Canis lupus familiaris: one gene and its partners. The protein of the gene in region 2 interacts with the protein of the main gene of each other region in a pairwise test. Links are inferred from orthologs where the notes say so. Each region holds a gene or a part of one and is shown on either strand. Other genes may lie near its edges.

Region 1 (10,104 bases), about 8.4 Mb from region 2:
GCAAAAGAAACAGTCAACAAAACTAAAAGACAACCTACAAAATGGGAGAAGATATTTGCAAATGACCTATCAGATAAAGGGCTAGTATCCAAGATCTATAACGAACTTATTAAACTCAACAGCAAAGAAACAATCCAATCATGAAATATGCAAAAGACATGAACAGAAATTTCACAGAGGAAGACATACACATGGCCAATAAGCACATGAGAAAATGCTCTGCATCACTTGCCATCAGGGAAATACAAATCAAAAGCACAATGAGACACCACCTCACACCAGTGAGAATGGGGAAAATTAATAAGATAGGGAACAACAATGTGGGAGAGGATGAGGAGAAAGGGGAACCCTGTTGCTCTGTTGGTGGGAATGTAAACTGGTACTGCCACTCTGGAAAATGGTGTGGAGGTTCCTCAAAGAGTTACAAATAGAACTACTCAGTGACCCAGCATTGCACTGCTGGGGATTTACCCCAAAGATACAGATGCATTGAAAAACTGAGACACCTGCACCCCAATGTTTATAGCAGCAATGTCCACAATAGTCAAACTGTGGAAGGAGCCTTGGTGTCCATTGAAAGATGAATGGATAAAGAAGATGTGGTCTTTGTATACAATGGAATATTACTCAGCCATTAGAAATGACAGATACCCACCATTTGCTTCAATGTGGATGGAACTAGAGAGTATTATGCTAAGTGAAGTAAGTCAATCGGAGAAGGACAAACACTATATGGTCTCATTCATTTGGGGAATATAAAAAAATAGCGAGAGGGAATAAAGGGGAAAGGAGATAAAATGAGTGGGAAATATCAGTGAGGGTGACAAACATGAGAGACTCCTAACTCTGGGCTTCGAAAAAGGGGTGGCGGAAAGGGAGGTGGGATAGGGATTGGGGTGACTGAGTGATGGGCACTGACAGGGGCACTTGACGGGGTGAGCACTGGGTGTTATGTTATATGTTGCCAAATCAAACTCCAATAAAAAATATACAAAAAAAGTAACAGAATTTTCAGGTTAAAAATCATAAAGTTCAACTCCTTCATTTAATAGTGAGGAAAATGCAGCTCAGATAACTTGACTTGCTACAGAGAAAGCTGATTTGCTCAGTCATTCACCTGTCAATGGAGAGCTGATGTTTTGACTGCTCACCAGATGCTCTGCACATCATATACAGGGCATGTATGACTCTCTTCCAGTGGATGGTGGATGGTGGATGAAAGGCATTGCTGTTTGAAGGAAATCACAATCCAGTGCCCTAGTAGAGATGCATAGGAGGCACTGCTTTCCCCACCCACCCAGTGGTGTTTTATTTGTGGTGACAAATTACCTATACATGCAGAGACTACAACTGCTCACTGTTTTCAAATTTCATCATGAGCTAGCAACTCACTGAGAAACCTTTGAAAAACTGCTTTGTGAAAATAATTTCAAAGATTCTTTTTGGGCAGCACAAGTAAAAGGAAGCCTTTCTTCCTTCTGCCCTCTTGGTGGGCAAGCATAGCACCCTCCAGCGTCAGATGAGGTTCCTTCAAAGGAACCCATGTACTCACCGTGGAACCAGGGCGCTATAGTGTCTGAGGCCTTCTGGTAGCCTGCTCGCAGAGGTAGCTGCTCCTCTTTGAACCACCGAATGATGTCCTCCTGGGAAGAGCTCGATGCCGTCCTTGTCACTCCCTGGGTTCTGTTATTCAGAAAACGTTTTTTTCAAGTTAGATTTAACTAATTTGAAAACAATGCCTTCGAAAATCATATTTATCCTGTATATATAGATCATGTATAAGAGGAAAGAGCATCCTATATGTCTGAACATCGGATTACATGGGCTGGGCTAATGGGAAGTTGGATCTCTAATTACTGCCATTATACAACTAAGTCCTCAAGGGCTGCTCAAAAAAAATAGGAAGGAACATATATCTGTCACCTTGTCCTTCCAGTCCTATCGGACTAGTCATGGGTATGAGCTACTGCTGTTAATACATAGATATTAATTCATTTTTAATATGAATTAAAGGTCCATTAACTTCCAATTAAAATTTGAGAAAATAACTATTAAAAAGTGAAATACACCCCCAGCGCTATTTTCCTTGGGAACATGCTCTCACAAACCAAAGAAATGCAAAAAAATAATTTTCTTTAACAGTTTCAGTATTAAACTTTCTCTTTTGTTTCCAACTCCCTGACTTGCTTTCTTCCTCCTGTACTTCGAAGAGGTTTGGTTCTGCTTAAAGACAGTCTCAGAAATATAAAGTCAAAGAAAGAAGAGTGTTTGAAGATTGGTAAGAAAAAGATACAAGTGGCAGAATCATCTTGAAATATATTCAGTAGCAGAACTTAAGTTCTGGGATGTAAGTCAATTTCCATCACAAAAAGTAACTTTGCAATGTAATAAACATATTTCCAAGTCTCTCACAACAGCCTACTCATTTTGAGCAGAATTCAGTGTAAAAACGATGAGTTTGGATGAACTTCTGGGATGCCTGTCATGTAAATTAACTTATGGCTCTTTCTGCATTTTATGGTAACACACGTCTCCACGAATTGCATGTGACATGTATTTCAGATGTACATGTATGCATGCACGCATCCAGTTACATACCACATAGTATTTTGGAGAAGATAGCCTATACTGGGGAAACCAGATACTGCACGCACGTGAGATTACACGATGAGTGCTGTTACCAGCTTTCAAATTAGGTTCTTTTTCTTTGGGAAGTCTTTGGAGGTTAAGCAAAAACTCTAAGGACAGCCAATCTCTGTCTTTTCTCAGCCTGGCTCCTCGCTGATGTGATGTGATGTGGTCCCAGCCCCCAAACCATCCTGTGTGGCTGCCTCACAAGAAGCATTTCGTGCAAGTCTGTGAAGTTGGAAAAACAGCTCAGTGAGCACAGCTCAAAAGAAGAACGGCTCTTATTAAAGGCCACCTTCCTGCTGTCCATCACATACCCAGGGCACGAACAGTACCGTGGGCCAGGGCACACTATGAATGACTATGAATGACAGTCACACCCTTGGAAGAACTGGGAGGGCAGGGGTGGGTACACACGCAGCCCTGCGGGGGGTGGACGACACCCTGACCAGCTGGGAGCACTCGAGAGGGCCCTGAGCACGGATTCACACTTTTGTGACTTGGCCACAAAATGGCCAGGATCCCAGTTTTTTTTTTTTTTATTACTTTTCTTGGGTTTTTGTACATAAGAAAAAAAAAATCATTCTCCACACTGTCCCCGTATAGAACATGATCTTCTGGTCCTGGTACCCACATCCAAAAATGGAACCTTTCAGTTGAGTAAGTAGAAATCATTGTCATAGAAAAAACCTCTACCTTCCTGTTTCCTCTGAGGTCATAATCCCCGTTAGGAAAAGCCTTGAAGATCACTACTGACTCCAAGCAAAGAGAGATTTCTTTGCTTTTAATTTCTCCATACTTGCAACAGAGAAGTCTTTCTGCTTTTTATTTCAGAAGGTGAGACTTGAGACAGTTCTGTTTCATTCAATTGCTATTTGATTTCTCTGGTATGTAAATACTGTCTTTCTGCGTATTAGAATATGAAAACAATCATATGATATCCAGGAGACAATAATTTTATAATCAGTTAACTAACACAAGGGAAAGGGGGTTTCTGCTATGATGTCATCGTTATTTTTCTTCAGGGATTTTACAGAACAAACTGTTCTACGCAATTTTCTACAGCCTAGGGGGCAAAGGCACCATCGTGACCAAAACAGTACTCATTCCAAAGAGGAACAGTTCCAGATTCTCAGTGTAGGAGCTCGACTCTGTAGCCCGAAAGGAGGGACCAAACCTTTAACCCGGAGGAAGGAGAACGACTCTATGATGCCCTGAACCGCAGCAAGCCCCGCTTCCTGCTTTGGCACCGCGCGGGCTAAGGGTGATGCTGAGTCCTGACCGAAACCCATTCTGCTTCCCCCTCAGTGGCCACCGTAGGGAGCTGATGGGGGGCCGGTGGGGCGCGGGTGGGGGCGCTGGTGGGAGACTGGTGGGGGCGCTGGTGGGGGCGCTGGTGCGGGGCTGGTGCGGGGCCAGTGGGGGCACTGGTGGGGCGCCGGTGTGGGCTCTGGTGGGGGCGCTGTTGTGGGCACTGGTGCGGGGCTGGCGGGGTGCCGGTGGGGGCGCTGGTGGGGGACTGGTGGGGGCGCTGGTGGGGCGCGGAGGCACCAACTCCGTGTTCATCCTTAATCACTGTCTATCTTAATTATGACAACGGTGGGTATTTTCCAGACGACAAGGGGGTGCATCCGGCGCGGGGACCTTGGGGCGACTGGCTAAGTGGAGGAGAGCTGGGCTCCGCGCTGCGGCCGCGCCCCCCCGCCCCCACCCCCACCCCCACCCCGGCAGCCTGCCCTTTGCCTGCGCTGCAAGCCGTCTATGTGGCTTCCTACCTGAGAGGCTGCCGAGGGGACCCCGCTGGGTGCAGGAACTGCGGCTTGGGTGGAAGGGGGGGTCTCCTGGGTCTCTGCGGAGCAGCTGGGGCGCCGTGCTGCCCCCCTCCGCTCCCTACCCTGTCCGCCGCCAGGGACAGCCTCTTGTAGTCCTCCCGCGCCTGTTTCGCCAAAGAGCGTCTCTTCTCGTCAGCTGCTTTGGATTTTCGCACTAGGAAAACGGGGATTTGAGAAGAAGATGGTGAGAAGGATCTGCTGGTGAAGGGAGCAGTCCCTCAGGAGATGCTGTCACCTGCTGATAACAGACCGTCGCTGTCATCACCTCCGGCTCACACAGCTCGGGCCTGTGCAGCCACAACTGCCCAGCCTGCCGCACAATCCCTGTCTTTCTAAGGGTGGCGGTGGCAGTGGGGTGGTGGTGGCAATGGCAGTGGGGGGAGGGCTTCCTAAGGGGGAGAAGGAGGATGAGGAAGGGAGGAGATAGAACTGGAGAACCACCTGTTGGACAATTTCCTGCACTTGGCAAGACCAAGGGATGAGTCATAGCCCGAGTGCGAATTCCAACTGGCCCAGAGCCTTTGACCAAGAGGTGATGTCACATCCCTGACGCCCTCAGCTCGAGTCACTAGCGGAGACCAGCTGTCGGCAGCTCCTGGTGCAGTCGCTCATGGCTGTGGACAGGGTGACAGGTGGGCCAGTCGTGCCAAAGATCACACTCAGAGGCCCCCCCAGAGCTGAGCCAACTGTGAACTGGCCTGCCAGGGAAACACTACAATGGTTCTCACGGCAATCAGAGAACGTGCTGGTACACATAAAAGCACCTCAAGGCCACCTTCTAATGTTGCTTTGTATAACAGAGGGCTTATTGTTTTGTTTTGTGTTTGTTTTAGCAACACGGCAGTAAAGGGCTATAATGCAGGATGTTAAGACTAATTTTTATTGAGTGTATTTGCGCTTCGGGCATTCTTGGTCAAGCCCTGTTAAGTCTCATTTCAAATAGATGCCAAAAATGTTCCATTACACTAGAATTTCACTGCATAGAAGTGATTGGATCTTGCAAATATTTTCATTTCACAAAAACTGTCCTGTTCATGGTGTTCACTAATGAAACTGAAGACAGGATGCTCCACATCCTGCAAACATTCTCACTCTCGTTCTCTCCCTTAAATGGCCCCAACGGATGACCCGGCTGGTAAAGCTCTTTCTGAGTCACCTGGAAACCCTACTGGTATTTCAAACCTGCATTGTCTCCTAGCATCCCTGAGTGCATTCTGCTCTGCCTTAGCCCACCCCACCTCCTCCTGAGGAGGGTCATCTCCAGCAGCGCTAACTCAAAAAGGAGTCAGGGTCAGGTCACAGGCATGGGACAGATGCTGATATATTCAATCGGTTATTCCTGGTTCTTCTCTTACAAAGTTAAGATGAGTTCGCTATGAAAATTTAGAAAAGTAAAGAATAACAAGAAGAATTAAAACAAATCTGAAATATCATGTCTCCAAAAAAATTAACATGTTAATAACTTTCTAGTTCTTTTACTTCACATACCAAGGCATTTTAAAATAGGGGATGTTTTTCATACTATTTTATAATTTTTTTTCTTCAAGTGAAAAACAATTTATAAACATATCCTAAGGTCCTTAAACATTTCCAAAACATGGTTTTTCAGAGCTATATACCGTTCCATCAAACAGACTTACTATACCACAGCTGTGATGGCACAAAGACAATGGAGAAACTTCCTACTATTCAAGAAGTGACTCGTAAGCCTTTATGTAACAACTTGGTAATAATTCTCTCAACAACCATTTTAAGTGCTTCCTGGATTGATCATTTGTTAAGAGAAGGAATTGGCCTGGCGGGTCTAAGGTGTTACAGAGGCCTCTGGGTACTCACGAGACGCCTGCCACTCCGAATCTTCTTTCCAGCTTTTATAAATCTGCTTGGTTTTCTCCTCGTCTATTTGTTTTAGTTCTTCATCTTGTGTTTTCTTCATGGATTCTTTCTTCTGTTTAAAAGAAAAAATAAAAACCAGAAACAAACACCAGTGATTAACTCTGGCAGTTTTCTGCGAGGAGGGATTAGAGGCAGGGGAGGAAGTGGTGGAGGGAGGAGGAAGGGGGAGGTGGGGGGAGGGGGAGGAGGCAGAGGGGCCAGGGGCACTGAGGGGCCTAGTTTCATTGTGACTCCCATTGGCCCCTGACTGGGCAGTTTGTTGTTGCAGGAAAAGCTTGGAGTCGGTGATACCTGAGGCTGACTCAGTCATGACCTAGCTATAGCACCTTAGGGACCATTACCAAACCTCTTTTAGGCTGTCTTTGCCTTAGCAGAATTAGAAAATTTAGAATATTTCATAAGGTTATAGTGAGGGTTAAATAATATTTTAAAAGTATCTTCCATAGTATATGAAACACATAGTATATGAGTCACAGTATATGACCCAATAAATATCCATTTTTCTCAAACACAGTGATGTAGGAATGACTTAGAGGCAGATAGGGCTAGGCAGGGAATGATAAGGGAAAAGCCCCAGAGTCAGGCTCCTACCCATCCCGAGAAAACAGAGATAAAACAGTAAAAACATAAAAAAATAAACTTGGCTCCCTAACTCCAAAATGTTAGGGAGTCTCCCCCCTTTAATGGCTACTAAGTAATCACAGAAACATGTCATTAAGGTGTTATCGATAGTCCCTGCTCAAACCAAGACCACACAAGAATCTCAAGGCCGTGGGCTCCCTGATTAGGCTGCAGAAATCCCAGATGTAGAGAAATGTTATGGAGATGTTAACCTGAGAAAAGGGAACACCTTGTTTGGGCTCATGATATTCATAAAACCATCTTGTTTGTCACTCTGATGGTTACAAGTCCGCCATGTTTGTTCCGAAGAGCCACCCTGATAGTGACATGCAATGTACCAAGTCCCCTGGTAAGGTTCCTATAACAGACAGACCCTACAAACCCTCAGCAACCCTGTCAGGACCCCTCTCACTCCTAGAGCTTCCTCTGTATCTCTGGTTAATAAACATCTGTCGCTTTGCTGGCTCTGTTGTCCGCACGAGAACCCAGCTCTCCCGTTTCAACAGCACTTACCAGGTTTCAGTTGAATTCCCTGAGGCAGTGTGTGAACACTGCAGTATCTGACCAGCTCCATAAAATAACAGTACATTTCTAGAGCAGTCTCAGCTGTATCTCCATGTGCCCTCAAACCAGTGTGTCTAAATATGTGGTGCTAGGGGCACCTGGGGGCTCAGTGGTTGGGCGTCTGCCTGCGGCTCAGGTCATGATTCCCAGGTCCTGGGATCCATTCCCACGGGCTCCCTGCGGGGAGCCGGCTGCTCCCTTTCCATCTACACTCCCAACCCCTGTTTGCCTGTTTGTCCTCTCTCTCTCTCTCTCTCTCTCTCTCAAAATAAATAAAATCTTTTTTAAAAATTATCTTAAAATGTGGTACTTACACATTTTTGATGACCCAAAAAGGAATATTTTGTTTACTATATATATAATATATATATATATATTTTTTTTACTAAACATCCTCTTTGAGAAAATATAAAATAAGAAACACAAGTCCTCCTTTAAAAGGAAATATGCTTTTTTTATTGTAAAACATACATAACATAAAAATTACTGTGTTAGCCATTTTGAAGTGAACAGCTCCGTGGCATTAAAGGAACTAGTTTTTAACTAAAGAGAAACACACACCAGATCACTTAGACCTAAAAAGTACTTTGTTGGGCAGCCCAGGTGGCTCAGCGGTTTAGCACCGCCTTCAGTCCAGGTCATGATCCTGGAGACCCGGTATCAAGTACCATGTTGGGCTTCCTGCATGGAGCCTGCTTCTCCCTCTGCCTGTCTCTGCCTCTCTCTCTCTCTGTGTCTCTCATGAATAAATAAATAAAATCTTTTTTTAAAAAAAGTACTTTGTTTATTTGGGTACTGCCTTTTGAGTGCTTATTAGAAAACAGAATTTAGCACTTGGTGAACTAAATAAAAGCCTTGGTCACCTCGATAAACAAGCTAAGAGGTTGTATAAAAGCCTGACTGACCATGCTTCGCTCTCCATCCTAAAAATGACAGTTTTTTTTTCTTTTATGTTTTCCCATAGTAAAAGACACTAAAGACACTCTTTCTGTTAAACTATTTCACCTCAACTAAAATATAAACCTTGATGTTGGGAAACTTGTTTTCAACCATTGTGGGAAGTCATAAATCACAGTTAATGTAAAAGCTGATAATTCATACACTGTATTTCATTTCAGATGTAACTGAACTTTTGTGTTCTTATTATTTTCAACTTTTGTGTATTTTTTTTCTTACTTTCTTTTTCTGCCTAGAGCTAAGCCCTCTTGGTTTACAATATTACAAAAACTAAAAAAACAGTTTTTGGTGTTTTAAGTGACTGTTAAAATTTGCTGTCACCTAACTGAAGCCATTTATAAACCTGAAATACATAAAAAGTACTGCTAGCAATTTCTAAGTTTAAACATAAAAAAACTTAAAAGTGGAACTTTGTTCAACTTCCACATGAATATTTTAAAATGATTTAAAATGATTAGAATAGAGCTATAACATTAAACCATGACAGCATGAATATTGTTGCTTAGGAAAAGCAAAAAGTTTACAAAGTGACTCCACTGAAGGAGAAATATTCAGTACCTAATAATGTAGGTGGTATGTGGTTGATGACAATCAAATGTTGGGGAGTGCTACAGCAAGTAAATCATATTCCTTTTTAACCTGCAGTATCATTCTGTATGGGGAACAGAAGGAAAGAAAACAAATTAACGAGTTTCACAGAGTAATGGATGAGATGAGCCCTGACAACTACATTTATTCCAAGAAGCTGGAAAACTTAAGGACTTTGTCATGAGTTTCTCTAAGAATTCCTCCAGAAAATTTACTTTGAACAAAATCTTTACAGATTGGTCTTTACATCCGCTGCTTAGGAAACCAAACCACCAATTCCTTTTTAGAAATGTTTGCAGGAAGCATGTAGGTCCAGGATGGTATGGTGAGCTAAGCATGGGAAAGTCAGGTGAGGGGTTGAAGGAGCAGCAAAGCTGAGGATGGACCCTGGTCCAAACAGCCACTGACTGAGGTTTAAACACAGGGATGGGTAGTTTGATGTCAAAACATCTCCCACAGAAAGCCTCCCATCCCAGCCTGTAATAGAAATAGTTCCCTCCAGTTTCCTCATTAGATCCTCTCCACTGCCTACAAAATTGGAAGGCTCTGTTTTATTCTTTGTTCTATAGAGAAGATGGGTGAGTGATCTATCTGTTCATCCATTCTCTTGAGTTCCCATATAATATTTTTTTAAGATTTTGTTTATTGATTGATGAGACACACAGAGAGGCAGACACACAGGCAGAGGGAGAAGCAGGCTCCCTAAGGGGAGCCCAAAGCATGACTTGATCCCAGGACCCCGGGATCACAACCCGAGCCAAAGGCAGACACTCAACCACTGAGTCACCCAGGCGTCCCTATAATTTCTTAAGTTAGAAAAGAAATGCATTGGTCCATGGCTATGGCCATTCTCCTGAGAGAGTGTAAAGACAGATGAAAATCTGCCTATCTCATAACTAAAAATGCTTGATAACCACTGGTCTAGTCTACCCCCCTTATTTTGGAGACAAAAAAGCCCAGGTCCTCTTCTCTTTTCCATCAAGACTCACTCTCTAGATGATCTCATCTTTCATCATGG
Region 2 (10,104 bases):
GGGGTTCACACGGTCAGTGGGTAGGACCGAGAGACCATTCTTTAAAAACACTTTGTAAACTTGTTTCGCTTGTGTATGTCCTGGGACACTGGAAAATGAGTGTCGCGCCGAAGGCTGTGGATGAAAGGGCCCAGGCCCTGTGTAGGGCCTGGGAGGCCTGGGAATGGCCTGGCCTCCCGGACACAAGCCTGGGCAAGCCGCGGGAGGGCCCTGCCCAAGGACACCCAGCCCGGGGAAAGGCGGGGCCGTCTGGTCCACATCCATTTGTTGTGTGACCCTGGTCAAGTCACTTCACTTGCTGGGGCTCAAGCACCTTCTATGGGGTGGCGGGACTGCTCCCAGGACTGCCTATGCCCATCCCTAGGACCCCAGCTCACACCCACACCAGGCAAAGGTAAGACCAGTGAAACCTGGAGTGCAGGTGTGGAGCATTCCTGACCCCTGGCCCTCACTGGGTTCCCACTAAGGAGCACTGGGGGGTGGGTGGGGGACTATACCCTCCCAGCACGGCACACTCCTCCTCCGGGCTTCCTGTGAACGCACTCTACATTGCACAGATGCTCAGGACAGTCTAAGCATCGGAAAGGCCTTGCAACTTGTTGGGACTGTGGGAAGTGGAAGGAGGCAGGTAGGGTGGGGAGCACCAAACCTCCTGCTCTAGGGGTCGACAGGTTGCTGGCCAGAGCAGACAGGTGGCTCCCCGCCAACGGCCTGGCCAGCCCCAGTCCACCTCCCCACAACCACCTTGTGGCCGTCCCTTCCAGGGATAGGTCTGGGAGAGAAGCAAAGAGGCCAGCGACAGTCTCCCACTGTCCGCAGACCTGGGGGGTGGGGTGTCGGAACTGCAAAGGTCGAGCTGCTATTCCAGGCCAGGGGCTGCGGAGGCAGGCAGGGTCAGGTTTCCCCAGGAAACCGTGCCCTTTCCACCCACAGGGCCTCCCCTCCTGGCCACAGGAGGCCCTTCTCGGTGTCCCCTCCACAACCAGCTGTCAGGAGCACCCTTGCTCTGGATAGCCAGAACTTAGGAAGCTCTAAATACCCAACATCCATCAATCTGGCCAGAAGAGACTGATGTCAAGCCGAGGGCCCAGGTCCCAGTGGCTCCAGTTTGGGGGCACGAGGTCCTGGTTTACCACAACTTTCTGCAAGCCACTTGGGTCTCTCATTTCTGGCTGGACCTTCTTCAGCCCCATCTGCACTGTGGCCAGCTGCTGGGGGCGGGAGGGCTGCTGCCTGGCGGACTGGGCTCTGTGGCCCAGAAAGGTCACAGGGCCTGCTTCACGTGAGGGCGGGCAGCTGCCTGGCAGACTGAGGACTGTGTTCCCCGGCCCAGGGATGTCCGACCAGGCCATCATGGAGCTGAACCTACCCACGGGGATCCCCATCGTGTATGAGCTGGACCAGGCGCTGAAGCCCACCAAGCCTATGCGGTTCCTGGGTGACGAGGAAACCGTGCGGAAGGCCATGGAGGCTGTGGCCGCCCAGGGCAAGGCTAAGTGAAGGGTGGGCTTCTGGCAATAAAGGCACCTCCTCCTACCACCTGGAGTCCCATGTGACCGACCCCAGCATGCCCAGCTCCCAAAGCTTTGAGCTTGGGGTTCCACAAACCTGGCCCAAGGGTGCTTGGCCCCTGCTGCCCACCTCCATTAGGTGTGAGGGCCCCAGGAACCAAGGGCAGGGGTCTGGTCCCCAATCTGCGCTATCAGGTAAGTTCTGAGAGGCCCTCTATGGTGATGCCAAAAACTGAATGGCCACCTGGTAACCCTGATCTAGAACCAGGGTGCCTGGGGTGACCCAGCTCTGCCCAGGCAGCAGGGACAGCAACCATGGCCAGTTACCCCCAGATGGGGTGTCCTCTGCTGTCCCTGCAGCCCCAGGGTGAGGGGCAGGGTGCAGGGGTACCAAGCACCACCTCCTGAGAACAAGCCCACAGCAGCCTCAAAGCCTGCAACATGGGACCTGAAACCCCCACAGCTTGGGGGTGGTGGGGAGGAAACAAGATGGGCCACCTGCCAGCATCCAGGCCCAGTGGTCATCTTAGAGTGGCCTTCAGCCCAGGTGCTTCCACTTGGCACCTGCCAGGGCACACAAGGAATGGCCCTGCTGACATTCATGGGGTGCCAGGCACCTCACTCGATGCATACAAGTGCTGCCCTGTGTGGGCAGAGGGTCCCCATGGCATTCAGGAGACTGAAATGCAAGAGGCGGACTTCAGTCACATCTTTACTTTTATGCCTCTCCCAGGAGACCACGGTGGGCCCCAGGTCCGAGGGCGCAGCGTGCACACACACACACACCCCAGACACCCGGGAAGGGATTGGTTTCTACACGGGGGTATTCGGGTCACAAGAGGGCAGTGCTCACTCCAAAAGCAGACATGAATGGGCCAGGACAGACAGGGTGAGACAGCAGGCACAGGCTGCTCTGGTTTCTGAGGCAGAGTCAGGGGAGCGCACACACCAGGGCCAGTAGAAGAGGGCGTGCCACATGGAAGGACACGTTTGCTGATCCTATGCACAGATCGGGGCTTAGTTATTTATCCTGTCCGCACTGCTCACTGTCTGCCACGCAGGCAGGGGGACAGAACTGGGAGCACAGGGCAGGGTCCGGAAAGATCACCTACTGCTGCCCAAACTGTCACGACCCACTGAGACTTTGGTCCTAAACTCTCAGTTCACTGAAGCTGAGCCTCGCTAACAGCTGTAGTCAGCACCCTTTAGAGCCAGGAAAAGGAAAAGGCAAATACCCCTGCGCAGACCGCCCGGCGTGGCAGTGCTGTCCCCCTCAGGCAGAGGCCACGGAAGGGCTGGCCATGGGCAGGGTGTGGCTCCATGTCCTCTGTGGGGTCAAAGGCCAGGCTGGGAGAGCCTGGGAGCTGCGAGACCAAGTGTGGGAATCACAGGATATTGCTGCATCTAGGGTGACAAGAGGCTGAGCACCCAAGTCTGAGGGAGCCCAAGGGCTTGTCTTGTTTGGCGGCGGGGGGGGGGGGGGTCCCATTCCTGGAGGAGCACGGTGTGGCTCTTGTGCCGGGCACGCCACCTCTCCCAGAAGTAAGGAAAGCACATCTGGGTGGGGAAAGGAAGGACGGCCTTGCTGCAGCCAGCAGTGGAGGGTCCTCACTCAATGAGCTCCACGTAGTTGGCAGGAAACATGCCAAAGTGGCCATCTGGCCCGTAGCCACGCCACCAGCCCTCATCGATCACCTCGATGCCTGTGATGAGGTTCTCGGGGTCAAAGGAGATCTCAGTGTCGTCGGCTGTGGGAAGGGGAGTCTGCACTGGGGCTGGTGGTCGGGTGCCGGCCACTACCCCTGGGGCCCCCCACTTCCACACGAGCAGCCTGTTTCCTGAGGCTCCACCCAGGACCACTGGGGGCCCCGTGTCCAGGTCACCCACCTCTCTGGTCACTTGCACTTGCAGGCTCTAGCACAATGCTGGCACCTGGGATTCACGCCAACACATGCTGGGTGGCTGCCCAGAGCACCAGGGGGAGGCCTGGGCTGTGCGGGCCGTCCACCCCATCCTCCCCTCCCCTTTCTATCGCCCTGAAGGAGCCTCTGAAGCCTGTCCCTTGACAGTGTAGCGGTCCCTTGACCGCAGCACGTTACCTGCCTGGTAGTCGTACAGGGCCCGGGCACACAGCCCCTTCCCGCGCAGCCCCGGGTAGGAGTCCACATGCTCAGAACCGGCATCCTGCTGCAGCACCTGCCCCCCGAAGGAGAGAAGGGAAATCTGGGGTCCTAGTTACAGGCTCACTGGCTGCTGCTGCCCACCCCCCATGACCTCCCACAGTACTGCAAGGGACTGCCCCAAGTTACACGAGATAATCCGCATGTAGGGAGCTACTGAAAAGTCAGGCATCCCGTGACTAGCGTGGCTGAGAGAGCATTTCTGGGTACGTGACCCCTTCACAGCCAGGCCCTGCTGTGGGGAACTCACCACTGGGGGCTCCTCATAGAGAGTCTCCTGCTCCGGGGGCTCCTCGTACACAGCCTCCTCTTCCGCCTGCACCACACATGGCGGACCGCTGGACACGGGCTCCTCATGGATATCTGCACAGGAGGATGCAGCCCACTCTGAGCCCGGGAAGGGGATCGCACACCCTTCCTCCCTCCCACTTCCCATCCCCAGCCCCCCAGGGGCGGCCAAATGCCTTGCCTGCCCTGGGCCTGGAGGAGGCCTGGGTGGGCTCCGGGCTGCGATGGGTCTCTGGCTGGGTGAGCTGTTTCTGCAGGAAGGGGCTCCGCAGCTTCCCTGCAAACCAAAGGTAAATGCACCTGCACTGGAGGAGGAGAAGATCTGCATCCTGCAGTGGGACAATGGCTGTCGCACAGGAGGATGGGGGGGCACACAGCAGCTGAAGCGCCAGCGGCGTGCACACCTCAGACACCCAGGGCACAGCGTGGGAGAGGGCAGCAGTGTGGTCCTGCGTTGTGCGTGCTGCACCACGGGTTAATAGGGCCGGGCTGGAGGGTCTCCCCTCTGAAGCCACACATGGCCCTTGCTTTCCAGGTCTCTGCAGGATGAGGCTATGGGCAGGAAAGGGACACCTGAGGCCCAGGCTCCCCTCCAGAAGCCACTCTAAGGAGTGCAAGCTCTCCTTGCTCACTTGCCTGTCTGACGTGTCACTACCTCTGGGGGCCCCACACTGGGATCCTAGGCTCTCGCTCGGCCTGCCCCCACCTCACGGTGAGGTGCAGAGGGAAGACTCACCTGGCTGGGGGCTGGAGATAGAAGTGGTGGACATGGCCCTCTCCTTCTGCTTAAAGATCTCCCGCGGGTGTGCTGGCTGACTGACCGGCTCCTGTGGGGAGTGCATGTGGACCCAGCGGTGAGGGGTCCCGGATATGTGGGAGGGGCTCACGGGCCTCGTCCACACTGGCCGCTTCTGCCCTTCACTCTCCACTGCCACCTCCTGTGTACCCACAGGTCCCAGCTGGCTGCAGGACCTTCTCAGCGGCCCCCTCCCTAGGCCTGCTGGGCTGGGGCCCCGGCATATCAGGGACCCCTCAGGGTGGGAGCACCCACATCTCACCTGCTCTATGTTCCTTGAAGCCACTTCCTGCTGCTCACTCCTGCTGGGGGAGCAGAGGGAGGTGCTGCAGCCCAGCTGCAGCCCATGTGAGACCCTCCCTCTGCCCTCCCTCTGGGGCCTCACCTCTGGGGTCCCTCACTGGCCTGTGCCTCTTGATAGCGCTGCTCCCGGAGGGCTGCCTCCCGCAGCTCCCGTTCCCGGCGCTCCTGCTCCAGTCGCTGCCGCTCCTCCTCTGCCCGCCGCTTCTCTTCCAGCCTGCGATTCTCCTCCTCCTTCTGCAGGGAGAGCCGACCCCGCCTGCCCCACTCAGCAGTTGCACAGCAAGCAGGCGAGCCTCCCTTCCTGCCCCCCCACCCCATGCAAGTGTGGCCTGTGCAGAAGCGTGCTCAAGCGCAGCCACTAATGAGGACACGTGTTCTTTATCATGAGAAACACAGGGACGGCAAGGAAGACACCCTGACACCTGGCACGCATGATCTCCTTGAGGGCTGGCTGTGCTCGACGCACCCGCACAGCACTCACCTCTGCTTTGGCCCAGAAGCTGTCTTTGCCGACCCTTTTGATCTCAGAGATGGCGTTGGTCTTCTGGTACACAGAGCCCTGTGGACGACAGAGGATCCGCTACAGGACCGTCTGCGGGAGCACAGAACGTGAACAATAGTTGTGGGGACCGTGCCTAGCAGTGGCAGTGACACCTGGCCCGGGGCCTCTTCACCAAGATGGCCTGAAGGCCCCAGGAACCACTGGGCAATGCCAAGGGGGTTTTTGGCTGCACTAGGCCCCAATGGATAGAAGCCAAGGAGGTTCTGAGGCTGGCTGCTTCTAGGAGCTGGTCCACTAGCCTCAGACAGCTGGTCACCGTGCCAGTGTCCAGGGAGACTCCACAGACTGCAGCGCTGCTTCGGGGAACTGGGCTCCCCATAACCAGGATGTCTGGTGTCTACCCACAGCTGGAAGGGGCCTGACCATCCAGCACTTAAAGCTCCCCCATGGTGCCCACCATCCAGGGCCGTTCAGGACAGGCTGGACTGTCCTGCAGAGCCTCTGACCACACAAAACAGGTGTAAGAGGCTCCAGAATAGCCAGTGGAACCAGCAGGCAGGGTAGAGGGCTGCTCCTCACGCCCACTAGCACCTGCCTACTAGGAGGCAGCTCCGGCTTCTCTCTGGCCTAGGCTCACCATCTGCACCTAGATCTGCCTCCAGGACCGGAAGCCCTTGAGGGATAAGACACGCTTGGCCCTGGGCAGCACTCACCACTGGGGCCTGAGGGCCTATGTCCTGGAAACGACCACTCTCCTTGTGGAAGGCATAGTTGGCTCCTGAGGCCCTGGCCACTTTCTGCATGATGCACTCAGGCTCCACGTCCTCCTCAGCCCTCGCGTTGATGGTTACATGCGCCCCCTGCAGCAGGACAGCACCTAGGTGTTGCAGCTCCAGGAGAGGACAGGACGCAGCCCCAAGTCTGCAGAGCGCAGACAACTGCTGCCTGGGGTTCGAGGTCAGGAGACCCTGCTGGGGCCCTAGGCACGCTCTCCACAAGACCGACAAACTACCTTGAGGCAGAGAGCCTGTTCTCACCCCAGCACCTTGCCCCTTCCCAAGCTGATTCCCCAGGGCTGTGTGTTCGCTGCTGGAGGCCCAGGCAGGAAATAGTCCTGATTAACGAAATCAACAAATTAACGAAAAGCCAACTTAAAAAAGGATCTGGAAATGCAATTTCTGCAAAGAGCAAACCACTTATTTCTTCTTCCTTTTTTTTTTTTTTTGTCTTATTTATTCAAGTAATCTCTACACTCAACCTGGGACTTGAACTCAGGACCCTGAGATCGAGAGTCGCTCACTCCTCACACGGAGCCAGCTGGGCGCCCCAGGCACCAATTTCTTTTCTTTTCTTTTTTTTTTTTTCAGGCACCAATTTCTTATTGAGAAGTCAGACCCATGACCTCACTCCCTGCTGGTAAACATCCAACAGCTTGGGATCCTCTTTCAGCTCCCAGATGGAGAAACTGAGGCATGTCTGAAAAAGCGTCAGCAGACTAGAAATCAAAGTCCTAGATCTTTCTGCCAGTAACCAAAGAAATGCAGGTTATCTGACAAGCAAACAACAAAGGCTTCTGGAACTAAACGAGGTTCCGCTGCGAGGACTGATGTAAATACACACGTAGGTTGGCTACAAACAGGGTACAGGGAAATGTGCCCGCTGAGGGGGCTGGGCACCTGCACCCTTCCTGCTCCTCCAAATCCTGACAACACGGCTGAATAAACCCTCACAAAACCAACGGAACCCAAGACCTCGCTCCAGATTGGCCTTCCCTGTGCTTGAAAAGGACAATCGCCTGTTCCTCCCCGCTGCTAACACCAGCTTGCTGGTCGCTCTGGCCACAGCATGGCCCTCTGGGTGCTGGCCAAGCAGGAGCGCAGCAGCCTCTGCTCATGTCCTCAAGTCCAAAGAGAGCATCGGGGAGTGGGACCCACTTCCGGTTCTGGCTGTGATTCGCGCTCACGCCCGCCCAAGATCGCAGGAGCCTGGAGACCTGTGTGAGGCCTTCAGGGTGCAGCCCTCACCTTCAGAAAGCTGGCCATGGTGCTGACGTGGTTGGCGCACGCTCCCTTCCGCACATCGTTCACACCTTCGCCTGTCTGCAACATGACACACCCGGCGTGACCTGCCAACTTCCCACCGCCCTGCCTCCCTAGGGACCCAGCAGAGGGACAACTGTGACCCTACAGCAGACCATACGGTAAGCCCCACATCCTTCAAGTCAAGGAGGTTCTTGAGTGCAGGATGACTGCCAGCTTCCACTGGTGGGGGTGGGGGGTTGCCTCAGAACCTCCTGGTCTCCCCAGGCCCTTCGCTCCCTCAGGACGACCCCCTGAAGGGGACAAATGTGTGGGTGTCCTGAACTGTACTGCTGGTTGTGGGAGTGGTTCTGGGCTAGCAGTGCTCCCGCTGTCGTCTGGGGCACAAGGACTTCATCCACCACCTCTGAGCTGCCCCAAAGACAGGTCCTCCTCCGCTCCCACCACGGAAGGCAAAGGAGGAAAGCAGGAAAGGGAGCTTTTCGGGGTCACGCCTGGATGAGAACTCAGAGGCCCCCGGGTTCCACATACCCAGTTGATGAGGACAAACTTGGGCAGGCCAGAGTTGGGGTCCTTCACCCTGCAGAAGGCGTACATCACCTTCCCGCTGTTGAGCTCCTCCACCATCTCCTCCAGGCCCCCCTCTGCAGTGGGCACAGGGAGGGTCAGAGGGTCCCACACCTGCTGCCTGCCCTGGCACAGTGCCCCCCAGGAGAGGAAATCCAATCTGCCTCGGAACCAGGGCTCAGTGCTGCCTGCAGAATCAGACTCCTCATCCTGCCCCCACTAAGTTGCTGCACAGGATCTGTGTCTGTAACAAGCACCTCAGGTGAGATGTTCCACATGCCAACCTAAAAACCATTAGTATAAAACCCAGACAGCTTCAGAAACAAAAATGCAACAAATGTTGACAGTCATGCAACAAAGTGGGCATGAAGCTTCCAAACAGAGGGTCTCTGCAACCATCTTCCTGCTGCCTGGACCCCACAAAGGGCCCTGAGCAGATGGGACCAGTCTGCAGTTGTGCTCAGGCTCAGCTCTCAGACCCTCCACGTAAAGATAAGGGAGTGATGGGCGCACAGGAGTGGGCCCTCTTCAGCTGTTCTTATCAGCACCCCCAAACCCACCCAGGCTATAAGGAGCTGGATCGAGTAATGTAGCTGGAGGGCCCCTACGGGCTTGGGGCAGTGCTGAGCCCCTACCCTGGGCTCTCACAGCAGAGCCCTGTGAGTACCCCTGGGGTGCTGGCAAGAAACACAGGGGCCTGAGACCTCCTTCTAAGCAGATGACCAGCAGGGAGTGAGAGGCAGGTTTTCTAGCCCAGTCAGAACCACTGAGCAGCCAGTGGAGGAGGTACTGGTGAGCACTCGCTGAGTAACAGAGCTGCATGTAGCTCCAACACCGACACTGTGGTGGGGAGCGGTCCTAGCAGCCTCGCCACGTGCTGGGACACCTCTGTGCCTGCAGTCTCCTTGCATTAGCTGTGATGGCCAAGGCTGCCAGGGAGCACCAATGCGTACAACCCGCCCCCCGCCGCCTTCACTGGGACATACTCACCCCCTGTGCCAGCCACACGGATGTCATTGCTGTTACCCTCATAGGTAAAGAGAGCCCTGAAACAAAACAAACAAGCTCTGTGGCCTTTGCCACACCTGCCAGGAGCTGAGCGTGACAGCCACATGGGCCCCACCAGACCCCACGGGCCTCCCAGGTACGAGAACTGGAGAAGACAGAGAATTCCCATGCCTTCCGGAACCAAAGCACCCCAGCAGGTGAGGCAGGAAATGGGAGTGCGCACACTGGACATCTGGGAAGGCAGCCCAACACACACCCAACACCACAGCCTGGTGCCTGTGTGCTCTGCCTCCCGAAAGCCTGAGGAGTTGGTGCAGCAGGTCTCTCTGGGCTTGGGACTCTCCTGGAAAACCCAGAAGCCATATGGGCCATGACTCAGCACGAAGTCAGTCTCCTCATGGGACAGACTTCATGGTTGGGAAAACTCTTTCTGGAGGAGCCTTAAGTCTTCACAGGTGACCCTGGGCTGCACCTAAGAACTCTGGGAAAGATTCATGCCTATGAACCGGGCCCGAGGTGTTCAGGAAATACAGCAAATTTTATTACGTCTAGGGCATGGAAAGTTGCTTGACCAGCACAGAGGTGACCCATGGAAAACTTTCTGGAAGAGGTGGCTTATCCACAGTCCACACAGGACCCAACCATCAATAGCCGCAGTTCAGCTCCAGGTGGCGCTGGCAGACGGAGGGTGGAGGGGGTGGGGTGCTGACCCAGCAGACAGCAGGTCAGAGGCAGAACCTGGACTAGCGGGTCATCCCCCCATGCTCTGAGCACAGGCCTGCCCAGGCCGGCCAGACAGGGGCCACGGGGTAAAGAGCGTGATAGGAACCGGGACGCCTGGTTGGCTCTGTTGGTGGAGCGTGCGACGCTTGATCTCGGGTTGTGGCTTTATGCCCCATGTTGGGTGTAG
Region 3 (10,606 bases), on a different chromosome or scaffold from region 2:
CCTTGTCCAGCCTTTGCTCATCCTAGCTGTTCTCCCTGAAACATGCCAAGGCGTTGCGCACCCTGACCTCTGGCTGGAATGACCAACCACTACCCCTCCTCACATGGAGAACTCATTTATCCTTCAAGACGCAGGCTGGGAATCCCCTGTCCTGCGAGGCACCTCAATATCCAGTCCTATTCAGGACTTCCCCCAAGCTGGTCCCTCTGAACAGCACACCCTCCTCCCTGCCTGTGTCTGTCCTCAATGAATCCAGAGGCCCAGTCCGGGGGGACTCCTGCCGCTGCAGCCCCCTACTCCCCACAACACACACAAAGAGAACCACAGGGCTGCCGGCAGACCCCCTGCAGACACCGGGCTGCTCGCCGGCCTCTGCGCAGGGCCCGCAGCTGCGCCCCTCGGCTCCGGGCGGACAAGACCAGTCCCCCGCCCGGCCCCCGGCCCCCGGCCCCCAGCCCCCAGCCCCAGCCGAGCTCGGGCAGACCCCCGCCCGCTGCCCCGGGACAGCGCCCCGCCCGGCCGGCCCACGCCCGCCTTTGTTCCCCCAGGAAGCGGGGCTGGCGCTGCGGGCTCGGTACTCACGGCGTCCACGCGGCGGCCCGCCTTCCCTGCGCGCGGCGACACGGCTCCGGCCCGCGCCCCCCGGGGCCCGCCTCCCGGCCGCCCCACCCCGGCCGCCCGCGCCCCGCGCCCGCCATGCCGCGCCCCCCGCCCCCGCGCCCCGCCCCGCCGCCCCTTCGCCCCGCCGCGCCCCCAGCCCCGCGGACCCCGCTCCGCCCCCGGCGGCCCCCGGCTCCTCCCCTCGCGCGCGGGCGGGGCGAGGGCGCGTCAAGTGGGGATCCGGCGCTCCGCCCGCCGCCCCGCGCAACCCCGCGCGGGGCCTCAGTTTCCCCAGGGGCGGACGTCCGCGAGGCCAGGCTGGCCCAAGCCTGCCAGGCTCCCGGCTGCCTCTTGGCGGGGCGGGGGCGGGGGTGAGGGCCGCCTGCCGCCCAGGGTTGTGGCCAGGGTCGTGGCCGTGGCCGTGGCCGGTGAAGCGGGTCTGGCTGGTCGGCACTGGGGCTCCCGGTGGGTCTCTGGGTCCTCCTGCCCGCTCTCAGGTGGCTTCAGCTTCTGCCACCATGGGCCTCCACCCCCGCATTCCCTGCAGGACTCAGAGGTCCAGTCTGTGGCAGCTCCCACCTCTTGGGTAGATGTGGGCTTCTCTCCTAGGAGACCCCCAGGCTGGCCTAAGGCTGGTGAGGGTCTTGTGGGCCACCCAGACATTCTGCTGCCTCCACCTCCCACCTGCATACAGGCTGCTGGTGAGATGGGCCAGTCCTGGCAGCCAGTAGCTAGAGGACCTTGGGCCCTGCTCCCACCCAGCTGTGCAGAGCACCATGCCCTGGTTTCCCATCCTTCACTTGAGGCTGGCTGTCCATGCCCCTTCCCACTGCAGCAAGAGGCTCTGTCCCACCTGTATGCCTCTGTTCCTAGTGCCCTTGCTAATCCCTCCCCTGGCAGCATACTCTGCCCTCAAGGCCACCGTCCTCCTGCGCCTCCCAGCCATCCTGCCTGGGCAGCCACTCCCACCCTGTCTCAGTTCCCTCCCCTGCGTCCATTCTCTCCCTCCATCATCCTCACTCAGCAGCATGCTCCCCCCCACCCACACATGCCATTCCCATCACTACTTTTCCAGATCTCCAGGGCCTCTTCCTGTGCACTTGGCCTTTCCAGATCTGGCCCCCATGGATCTTTCTCAGGGGATCTCTTCCTGCCCTCCACCTCCCATGCATCTGTGCCATCCAGACCTTGTGAATCCTAAATCCAAAACCCAGAACTACCAAGCACCACCTCCAGGCTGCAGTTCACAGGTTCCACTGCTTGCAGTTGCAACCACACTAACGCAGCCCCCAAGAGTTGGTTCAAATGAACACCAATCCAACATTGACTCCTCCAAAAAATAGAAGAGAAAGGAACTCACTTTCTAAGGCCAGCATTATCCTGACACCAAAACCAAAGATATCACAAGAAAACTACAGACCAATAACCCTTATGATTATAGACATCAAAATCCTCACCAAGGGGTGCCTGCATGGCTCAGTTCATCAAAATACTAGCAAACTGAATTCAGCACCATGTAAAAAGGCTTCTACACCATGCTAAGTGAGACTTATTCCAGGAATACAAGTGTAACACTTAAAATTCAATGATCGCATACAACATATCAATCAAATAAAAGATAAAACCGCACGATTATCTCAGACACAGAAAAAGTATTTGTCAAAATCTGACAATCTTTCATGATAAGAACAACACTCAACAAACTAGGAATAGGAAAAAACTTCCTCAACATGGTAAAAGTTGTTTATGAAAAACCCAGAGCCAACATCATACTCAAAGGTAAAAGACAGCAAGCTTTCCCCTAAAAGTAGGGACAAGGCAAAGACATCTGCTCTTGCCATTTCTATTCAACCTGTATCAGAGGTGCTATCCAGTGTAATTAGACAAGAAAAAAGAAAATAAAAAGTATCCAGATTAAATGAAAAAGTAAAACTATTCACAACTTACATGGTTATGTATATAATACATATCAAGGAACTCACTAAAAAGTTATTAGAACTAGTTAATGAACTAGCAGGATATAAGATCAATACACAAAATCCAGTCCTACTTCTACATACTAGCAGTGAACAGTCCAAAAGTGAAATGAGAGTTAGTTCAAGTGTCCCCCCTTTCAGGTGGGCTTCCCTGACCTCTAGGGTGTCCTGTGTCCCTCTGTGGGGCTAGCACAACTTTCCCTCCACATAACACTGACCACACTAGCATGTCACCATCCCCCATCCTCACCAGCTCAGGCCCAGCACAGAGGGGGCTCCAAAGGAAGCATAGAATGTTGACCCTGGAGGGTGGTAACAACTGCAATTGCCTGGAAGGCACAGAATGCCAAAATACAGCCCCCATTCTGGTGTACCTATCGTCTCTGATCTGTAAGAAGACCTGGCATGTGTGCTAGGGCAGGGGCAGCATCTGTGAGGACACATGGAACTCACCATTTCACCTGGCTCCACACGTGGGGGAAGCTGGAGGAGAGGAGTCATAAGGCAATCTACAGCCCCCCTCCGGCTCAGCTCAGGGGCCAGGCCAGCACAGGCCTGTGAAAGCCTTGCTCTTGCCTGGCCACAGTCTCTCTGTGGGCAGGATGAGGGCTCTTAGGCGGCCACTGACTGACCTTGGGTGGGGAGGTGGGTGGTGACAGAGTTAGGTTGCGCCCTACCTTCACCTCCCCCAGGATTGTCCTTGCTTCAGGGACAGATGCCAACATCCTCATCTCCTCTCAAGAGGTTGGACCACCCAGAGGGAAACCCACCCGGATGTCCCCAAAGCTTCCCCCCGCACCTGGTTCTGCCCTGCACCAGGGGGTCAGCTGGTTTGGCACTGGACCAGGGGCCAAGTGCCAGGCCAGGCTGGAGCAGAAAAGGGAAGGAAATGGTGGCTTGTGGGTAGGGGTGATGACGACCATTGTTACTGAGGTGACTAGACAGCTTTGGAGACTTCAGTCCAGCTCAAAGATTCCAGCTCCATGGTGCCTGGGAAAATTTAGGGGAGTCCCCAGGAAACTCCCATACTCCTGGCCAGCCTGGCCTTCCTGGTTACCTCCTTCTATGCTCATGGTATCAGCCAGCAGCCTGGTAGTTAAAGTCCACTCCTTTATCCCATGGGCTCAGCAGTAAGGAGCTTCTGTCCCTTCTCCTGCAAGGGTAGACACAGCAGTGGGGGCTCCCTCACACCACGCTGAGCCACCCTGGGTGGGAGCTGTCAGGGAGCCCGGGTTCAAATCCCACCAGGCCTTCCTCCACTGAGCCTCTACTTCCTCTAATTTAAAGTGGGTACAGAGAGTCCAATCTTCAGAGCACCCCAACACCCCTCAGGGCGTTAGCTCTACAGAGGAGGGTACTGAGGCCACCCTGTGTCAGCACTAGGTTCCATGCTGGGGGGGGATCTGTTCCCCACAGCTCAGAGGGGCTGTCTGGGGGCAGGATTCTGATGACACAAGGTGGCCAGCATGGTGGTCGCTGCTGGGCTCCAGGAGCCCTTCCAGAAGGCATGAGATCTTGTGTGTTCGAGTGTGCACTGGGAAGACAGAGACCTCAGGCACACTCTCTGCCCTCTGCTCTTCACTCACCCTGGACCTTCTCTTCAAGTTGAGATTAGTCTAGGTGACCAAGGCCTGAGGTGCAGGGCAGATGGGTGAACAGTGCTGTTCCACGGAGACGGGCCCCATTGAGTTCCATGAAGTATAGGGTTTGTGGGTCTCACCCCCCATGGGGCTGTGAGCCCAGAGGCATGTGGTCATTGCCAGCACAGGCCCACAAGTGAGCTGAGGCTCTACCAGCTGGTTGGTGCCACAGACCATGGGCTCAGAGAGCTCACAGCGCAAGTGCAGGTTACAGTGTGCACACCGGTGTATGTGCATGCATGTGCACAGGTGTGAAACTGTGCAAGAGAGTGAGCAGGGGCTCTGGAGGCCAAACTCCTGCATCTCTCCTCTTTCACACCTGCAGACACAGCCCTGGCTGTGGTGAGGAAGCTGGTGCCTCAAGTGACCACAGTGTCAGGGGTTCCTGTCAGTGGTGACCAGATCGGCCCCCTTATGGGAACTGCAGGACAAGGAGGGGCCAGGGGTCCCTGACTGCACTCACACACACTCACCCCATACAAGCACATCATATACAACTCATCATATACAAGCACATACACAATGGTACATATGCTCACTCATTCTCACACACACTGGAGTGTACTATATACTCACAAAGTACTTGTGGGCTTACACTGATATACACACACACTCATTCACTCACTCATATGTACACACACACACAGCCTCCAGAGACTCACAAGACCTTTTGTGGGTACCCCCGGTACCCTGGGCTGACAGCCCAAGCATAGGTCAGAATCGTCATGACCACCCTCCAGCCCCGCATGTGCCCATGGCCAAGTTCCACTTGAGGCTTGGTGCTTTAGTCCCATTTCACAGACTAGAACAGTGGGCCTAGGAGAAGCACACTGGGCACTCACCAGTGGACAGGCTCTGCCTTTTGGGGATCTCCCATGTTATCATCTCAACATCCCCTGACGTGTGAGCCAGCAGCATCATCCCCACGCCACTGATGAAGACACCAAAGGGTCTGAGCGGCTGAAAAACTTGCCCAGAGTTACAGAGCCAGGGAACAGTGCAGGGGGGGAGGGGGGCTCATCAGGCACAGCCACTCCCCTAGCCAGCCCCCAGCAGCCGCAGAGCCCATCTGTTCTCCCCTTTCAGGTCCCCCCTGCTTTCTCTTCCCAGAATCTTCCTCCATAAGAGAATCAAAACCAAAAATCTCCTACGGAGGCTGGAGGCCAGTGAGCAGCAGTACCAGAGGGAAAGGGCATGACCTGGTTTTATAAGGAGAGCCCTTCACCCCCTCAGCTCTGTGCCAGACCCCCAATCACAGTCCCCAGGCACACACACACACTCACTCTCATCTATATTCACACGCTCACTCAATGCGTGTGCTCACAGGACCCAAACGGCAAGCCCAGCACCCCCCCACCCCCGGCAGCATATACGATAGGAAGGTGCACCCCAACCTTCAGCCAGATGCAGGCTGAGCAGCACATGGTGGGGGGCAGTGGAGTTCCCACTGTGCCCCACTCGGCTCTTGGGGCTCTCCTCAAAGCTTATCACTCTGGAGTCCAGAGCTCAGCTTCCCCGGCCAGTTCTGCAGACACTGGGCCAGTGCCACCTCCCGAGTCCCCAGTCCCAGGGCAGCCCCACTGACCTGATAGCACTGACCCAGCACATGGCTCTCCTCTTGTCTGTTGACGGGCTTGGGGCAGGCTTCCTGAGGCCCAGAGAGGCCATGTGACTCAGGGGTCACAGGGCACATCTGCAGCCTGCCTCCCCCAGGTAGGGAAGGCCTGCTGGCCCCGCATTGCTCTGAGCACCCTCCCGCTGACAGCCGCCTGCTGCATCTGGGGCCTGTGGCCGCCAGGGCTTCCTCCCCACTGACACTTCCTGTTGCCTGTTGCCGGGTCCTTGGGCAGCCCCAGCTCGCCAGCACTTCCTGCTTTCTGTCATCCAAGGTCCCAAGGCCAAACCGAGGCCCAGAGCTGCACCCTTTGTTAGTGCTGTCAGGTCTGCTGAGTTTTTAGCCGACCCCTCCTCCCAACCCATCCTGTGGTCAGAAACCACAGCTCTCCAGGCCCAGGGGCAAGGCTGGCTCTGTCCTGGTCCCCAGGGAGGAAGCTCCCCGCAGGTCCCCTACCGCACATACTCCATGGCCACTTCTGCATACTTGTCTTCTCCCCAGCAAACCACCAAAGCTCCTTCACAGCCTGGGCTCTCAGACTCCCCTCCTTGGTTCCAGAAGCCCCCTCCCCACACCAAGAAGCTGAGGCTTCCACCCCAGGCAGAGAGCTCACTACCTCCCTCTCTGCCCTTTCATACCAACGGACCAAGGAACCAGGTTCCCGGCAAGGCCCAGGCATTTCCCTTCCCCCCCGCCTCATCTACTACAGGCCTCCCCCATGCACCTGCCAGGCTTACATACCTCTTGTGATCACCACTCCCTGCTGGCCCTGCCAATGCCAGGCTTGCTCCTGCCACTGCTTGACTCTGCCCCAGGTCCCACTCAGGCTCCTCCCAGGCCTATGCTGCCCCACCAAGGAGGGCTTCCTCCCCTGCCTAGACCCACAGCCGAGAAGTTGGGGAACAAGGATTCAAGACCAGGCTGTTTGGTGCCCCCACACCCCCTAGCCCTCCTCTCCTGAGCCTGGGCCTCAAGGTCTTACCTCTCCCACAGAAGACAGGGCAAGCCAAAGGAAGGAGCACCCCAAGACCACCCGTACAGAAGGATCTGAGGGTCAGAGAGGCCACAGAGCACAGGGTCCCCGGGAGTTGTTATCTTGTCCAGCAGGTTTCCTGGGGCACATCCCCCACAATCGACCATGCTGGCACCTAGCCATCCCTCATTCTTGTAGTTGGGGCACTGGAACTCCACTTTGATCACAGCCCCAGACCTCTGCCAAGGCCCTAAGCCACCTGGAGGCCTGTTTGGGGTTACAGACCGCCTGCTGTCTCTTGGAGGGTGGGAGTTTAGGTTTCGTGTTTGAGCTCTCCTCAGGCTGAGCGTGGCCCCCCTGTCCCCGCCCCCCCCCCCAAGCCTGTGCCAGCTTCAATGCCCTCTGGTGGCCAAGGGCAGACTATGCTTTTGGCAGAAAGATGGCTGGGACAGACAGACCTTACATAGCAAGAGGGAGGCTTTGGGGGGGGGGGGGGGCTTCTTCCTCTTCTTCCCCTTTGCAGCCTGCCTGGGGTGGACAGAGAACCCCAGAGCAAGACACACTCTGGACACTTGGCCTACCTCCTTTCTGTACTACCCGTGTGGCCTCACCCTACTTAGCCCCTCTAAGCCTTAATTTCTTCATCTGTGCAAGGGATGCTGAGGGTTGAGATAAAGTAGCAGGGTGAGGAGCCCCTGGGCCATGATCCAGCCAAGACAAGCCAGGGGGGCAGCGCTGGGCTGGGCACTTTGGCCTCAAGGGGCTAGAGAAGGTGTCAGGCCCAGCAGGCACTAGGTCAGGGGAGGCCTGGGAGGGGGGCAGGTCTGACAGAGGAGGTGAAGTTTGCTGAGAGGGGCTGGGGTGAGGGAGTCAAACACAGGTCAGGGCTCAGGACACCATCCCAGGGTGGGGAGGAATCCAGGGGCAGCAAGGTGGCTGAGGCCCAGGAAGGCTGGGGGACAGGTGTAGGGGTGAGAACCTGCCGTGATAAGAATGAGGAGCCAATGGCTCTCCCTGGGATGTACAGCCCTCACTGGACAGATGGAAGTATGGGTAAGCAGGCCTGAGGTCAAGGCAGCAGCCAGGGCCTCCCCCGCCCTCACCCCCTGGAGGGCCCCCCAGCTCCTAAACACAGCAGAGTTGAAGTGGATGGAGGGGCATGAATGAGGTCAGACTAATGTGGGGGTCAGACTAATGTGGGCCCCTTCCCCAACCCTAGTTGGAGTTTCCTATGGGGGCTGAGGTCAGGAGTCCTGGGCTGCTATGTGACCTCTGCAGACTCCTCTTCCCTGGCCTCAGTTTCTTCATGGGCCCTCCTATCTCCTGAGAGGTCCTTAATCCTCGCAGTAAATAACACTGCCATCTATACTCCTGAAAACAGAGCCTCTCCAATAACAGCATCTTTTACGGTATGTAGAAATAGCCACGGAAATGATGGCACACCAGGTGCCCCAAAGTCCTAGGCATGGAAACCACTCCACCACACTGGATGTAGGGCACTTACCCGCGGGGGTGGGAGGGGGCCAGCAGGGCCAGGCAGGGGCTAAGGGTCGGCCTGGAAAAAAAAGAGAGAGGGAGAGTTTTTAGTCTGGGTTCCCAGGGTCTCAGCCTGCTCAGGAGCAAGGCCGACCCCCAGCACAGTGCCACCTCTGTAGCTGGGCACAGAGTCGGCTTCACATCTGTGCTCACAGCGCATGAAGCTGGTGCTAGCTTCACCTGCACCTCCCACGAGGACACTGCCATTCAAGAGGATGGTGCTCGCCAGGCTGACGGCCAGAGAATGGAGGTGTGAGGAATGGAACCATGTCCCTAGGAACCCCAGCTGCAGCTCTCCTGCAGGCACCCTGGGCCCTCGTGCCCAACCTGGTGCCTGCCTGCCACTTCTGGGGGCAGCGCAAGTGCAAAAATTGCCAAGGAGGGCCTGCTGGGCTCAGGGAAGGGCGGCTGGTGCCCATACCGGGGGAAACCTCAAGCTTTCAAAATAAGATGTTTCATATCAGCCACTCCTGCAGGGCCTGGGTCCATCCGCCCAAAGCCAGCCCTAGGACCCCTACTCCCTGAGCCTCACTCTTCTCTCCACACCTGGGGCTGGAAGCTGCCTTCCAGAACAAGGCTGCCAGGAGGGTACTAGGCAGAGGGAGTGGGTAGTGTAGAAGGCAGGGCCCTGCCTGGGGTCACCTGGTGTCATGAGCTACATGGGGGTCCCCAAAGAGATATGTCTAAGCCTTAGCCCCCAGGAATTATACATGGGACCTTATACAGAAAAGGGACCTTTGCCTATGTCATTAAGGTAAGGATCTCATTCTGGATTAGCCAGATGGGCCTGAAATGCAGTGGCAAGTGTCCTTAAAAAATGAAGAGATAGAGGCAATCTCCAGCACTCCCCATTAGCCTGGGTCCCACCAAATCTCCACAGCCAGGTTGGTGCCTGGTCCACAGCAGGGCCCGAAAAACAGATGGATGGATGGACAGATGGGTTCAGAGTTATGTCTGCACACATGACCATCCCTCTACATGGTCTAGGCTGTAACTAGCACATGCCTAGCCTGGCCCTCAGAGCCACAGTGAGGAATTGTGACTTAGAGCTAATCTGACCGTCGATAAGAACTGATGTTCAGGGTGGCTACAGCCAAGGCCCACCCATGGCCCAGGACTCTCCTTGGGGGAGTGAGCAGCCAGCTGGCATTGAGCAGGTATTCAAGATTGCTAACTGCAAAGAACAAATCAAGGCACTGGAGCCTGCCAGCATCCCCAAAAAGATAGTAGGGTGCTGGGGGCTAGAAGCCTCCCAGGGCTTTCTCAGGGCTACCCAGGGCAGAGGCAGGAAGCAGCTCCGCCACCTCTGTGTCCAAGGACAAAGGAAGTTAAGGGAAGTGCAGAAAGAGGCCCATGTGGGCCTGGGCTTCTGGGCCAAACCAGGGGCAGGGACAGGGCTTCTACTCTGGGACACTTGGACCCCAAACTCTGTCCCCATGGAAGACTCACAGCACCCCTGTCCCTGGATGTCACAGCAGCCCACAGCACCTGGAGCCTTCCTCTCCCTGGCCAGCAATCTCTGCCTCCAGGAAACATTCCGCAGCCGGGCAGTGAGCGAGCTGGGCTGGGGGCTCCCATGGGGAGCAGAGGCTGCTGCAGGCTTGCACCTGGGCCAGAGCATGCTCCAGTAGAGCCGGGGAGAGGGCAAGGCTCTCCAGACGGGAGCTGGGGCCTGGACAGGAGGAGGGGGAAGGCTGGAGGCCCATCAGGCCAAAAGGCCCATGGGAGGGACAGGGTCCATGCTAGGCTGTGGTGAGGGGCAAGCTGGGTCTGGGGTGGGGGAAGCACAAATTGGCATCGTCACGGGCCGGAGCCACGCTTCTGCCTCAAACCACAAGCCAGCAAAGGCGTTCAGGATTCACACTTCAGTTCATCACAACACAGACAAGTTTGCAACTTTTAATTGCTTGAGAAAAGATTTCCAGAGCGCTGATGTGTGGGCCTGGTCCACACCACCCCCGCCCTGAGTTCCTGGCTGCCTGCTGGTGGAGGCAGCCTCTATCAGCCTTGTTCCTGGAGTGCTCCCTAAGACAGACGCTCAGTCCTGCCTGCCCTGATAGCTCCCCATGAGAGGGTTACTGTGCCCACAGGACCTGGGTGGCAGGATAGCACAGCGGTTCCTGTGGGAACCAAGCACAGGCGTCCTTGGGGATGGGCCTGGCTCAATCCCCTTTCCTAATCTTGTGGCCCACTCTGATCCTTAGCCTCCTCCTCTGAAGAGTGGGGCTGACAGCTCTGGAGTCGGGTTGTCCCGTGGTGGGCAGGG

What was found.
Region 1: the proteins of DBNL (region 2) and SH2D4A interact in binary tests that used the Homo sapiens proteins (3 or more experiments, as listed by UniProt). The two-hybrid records come from large-scale screens. The link is inferred for Canis lupus familiaris from reciprocal best matches to the Homo sapiens genes DBNL and SH2D4A.
Region 3: the proteins of DBNL (region 2) and SH3BP2 interact in binary tests that used the Homo sapiens proteins (3 or more experiments, as listed by UniProt). The link is inferred for Canis lupus familiaris from reciprocal best matches to the Homo sapiens genes DBNL and SH3BP2.

The regions. Positions count from the first base shown.
Region 1 is NC_049237.1:22,913,006-22,923,109, reverse strand, and holds part of SH2D4A (SH2 domain-containing protein 4A), read right to left. Parts: intron 6,409-10,104; coding exon 6,297-6,408; intron 4,615-6,296; coding exon 4,404-4,614; intron 1,684-4,403; coding exon 1,553-1,683; intron 1,258-1,552; coding exon of another isoform or gene 1,148-1,257; exon of another isoform or gene 1,132-1,147; intron 1-1,131. UniProt on the Homo sapiens protein: Inhibits estrogen-induced cell proliferation by competing with PLCG for binding to ESR1, blocking the effect of estrogen on PLCG and repressing estrogen-induced proliferation. May play a role in T-cell development and function.
Region 2 is NC_049237.1:14,464,155-14,474,258, forward strand, and holds the end of DBNL (drebrin-like protein), read right to left. Parts: intron 9,233-10,104; coding exon 9,177-9,232; intron 8,264-9,176; coding exon 8,151-8,263; intron 7,781-8,150; exon of another isoform or gene 7,680-7,780; coding exon 7,605-7,679; exon of another isoform or gene 6,441-7,604; coding exon 6,294-6,440; exon of another isoform or gene 5,638-6,293; coding exon 5,560-5,637; exon of another isoform or gene 5,313-5,559; coding exon 5,161-5,312; exon of another isoform or gene 5,125-5,160; intron 5,081-5,124; coding exon 5,038-5,080; intron 4,807-5,037; coding exon 4,716-4,806; intron 4,257-4,715; coding exon 4,161-4,256; intron 4,055-4,160; coding exon 3,942-4,054; intron 3,708-3,941; coding exon 3,611-3,707; intron 3,260-3,610; coding exon 3,120-3,259; 3' UTR 2,206-3,119; downstream 1-2,205. Other genes in the region: PGAM2 (phosphoglycerate mutase 2), read left to right, coding at 1,334-1,500. UniProt on the Homo sapiens protein: Adapter protein that binds F-actin and DNM1, and thereby plays a role in receptor-mediated endocytosis.
Region 3 is NC_049224.1:61,998,121-62,008,726, forward strand, and holds the start of SH3BP2 (SH3 domain-binding protein 2), read right to left. Parts: upstream 6,034-10,606; 5' UTR 5,885-6,033; coding exon 5,802-5,884; intron 3,730-5,801; exon of another isoform or gene 3,634-3,729; intron 606-3,633; exon of another isoform or gene 583-605; intron 1-582. UniProt on the Homo sapiens protein: Binds differentially to the SH3 domains of certain proteins of signal transduction pathways. Binds to phosphatidylinositols; linking the hemopoietic tyrosine kinase fes to the cytoplasmic membrane in a phosphorylation dependent mechanism.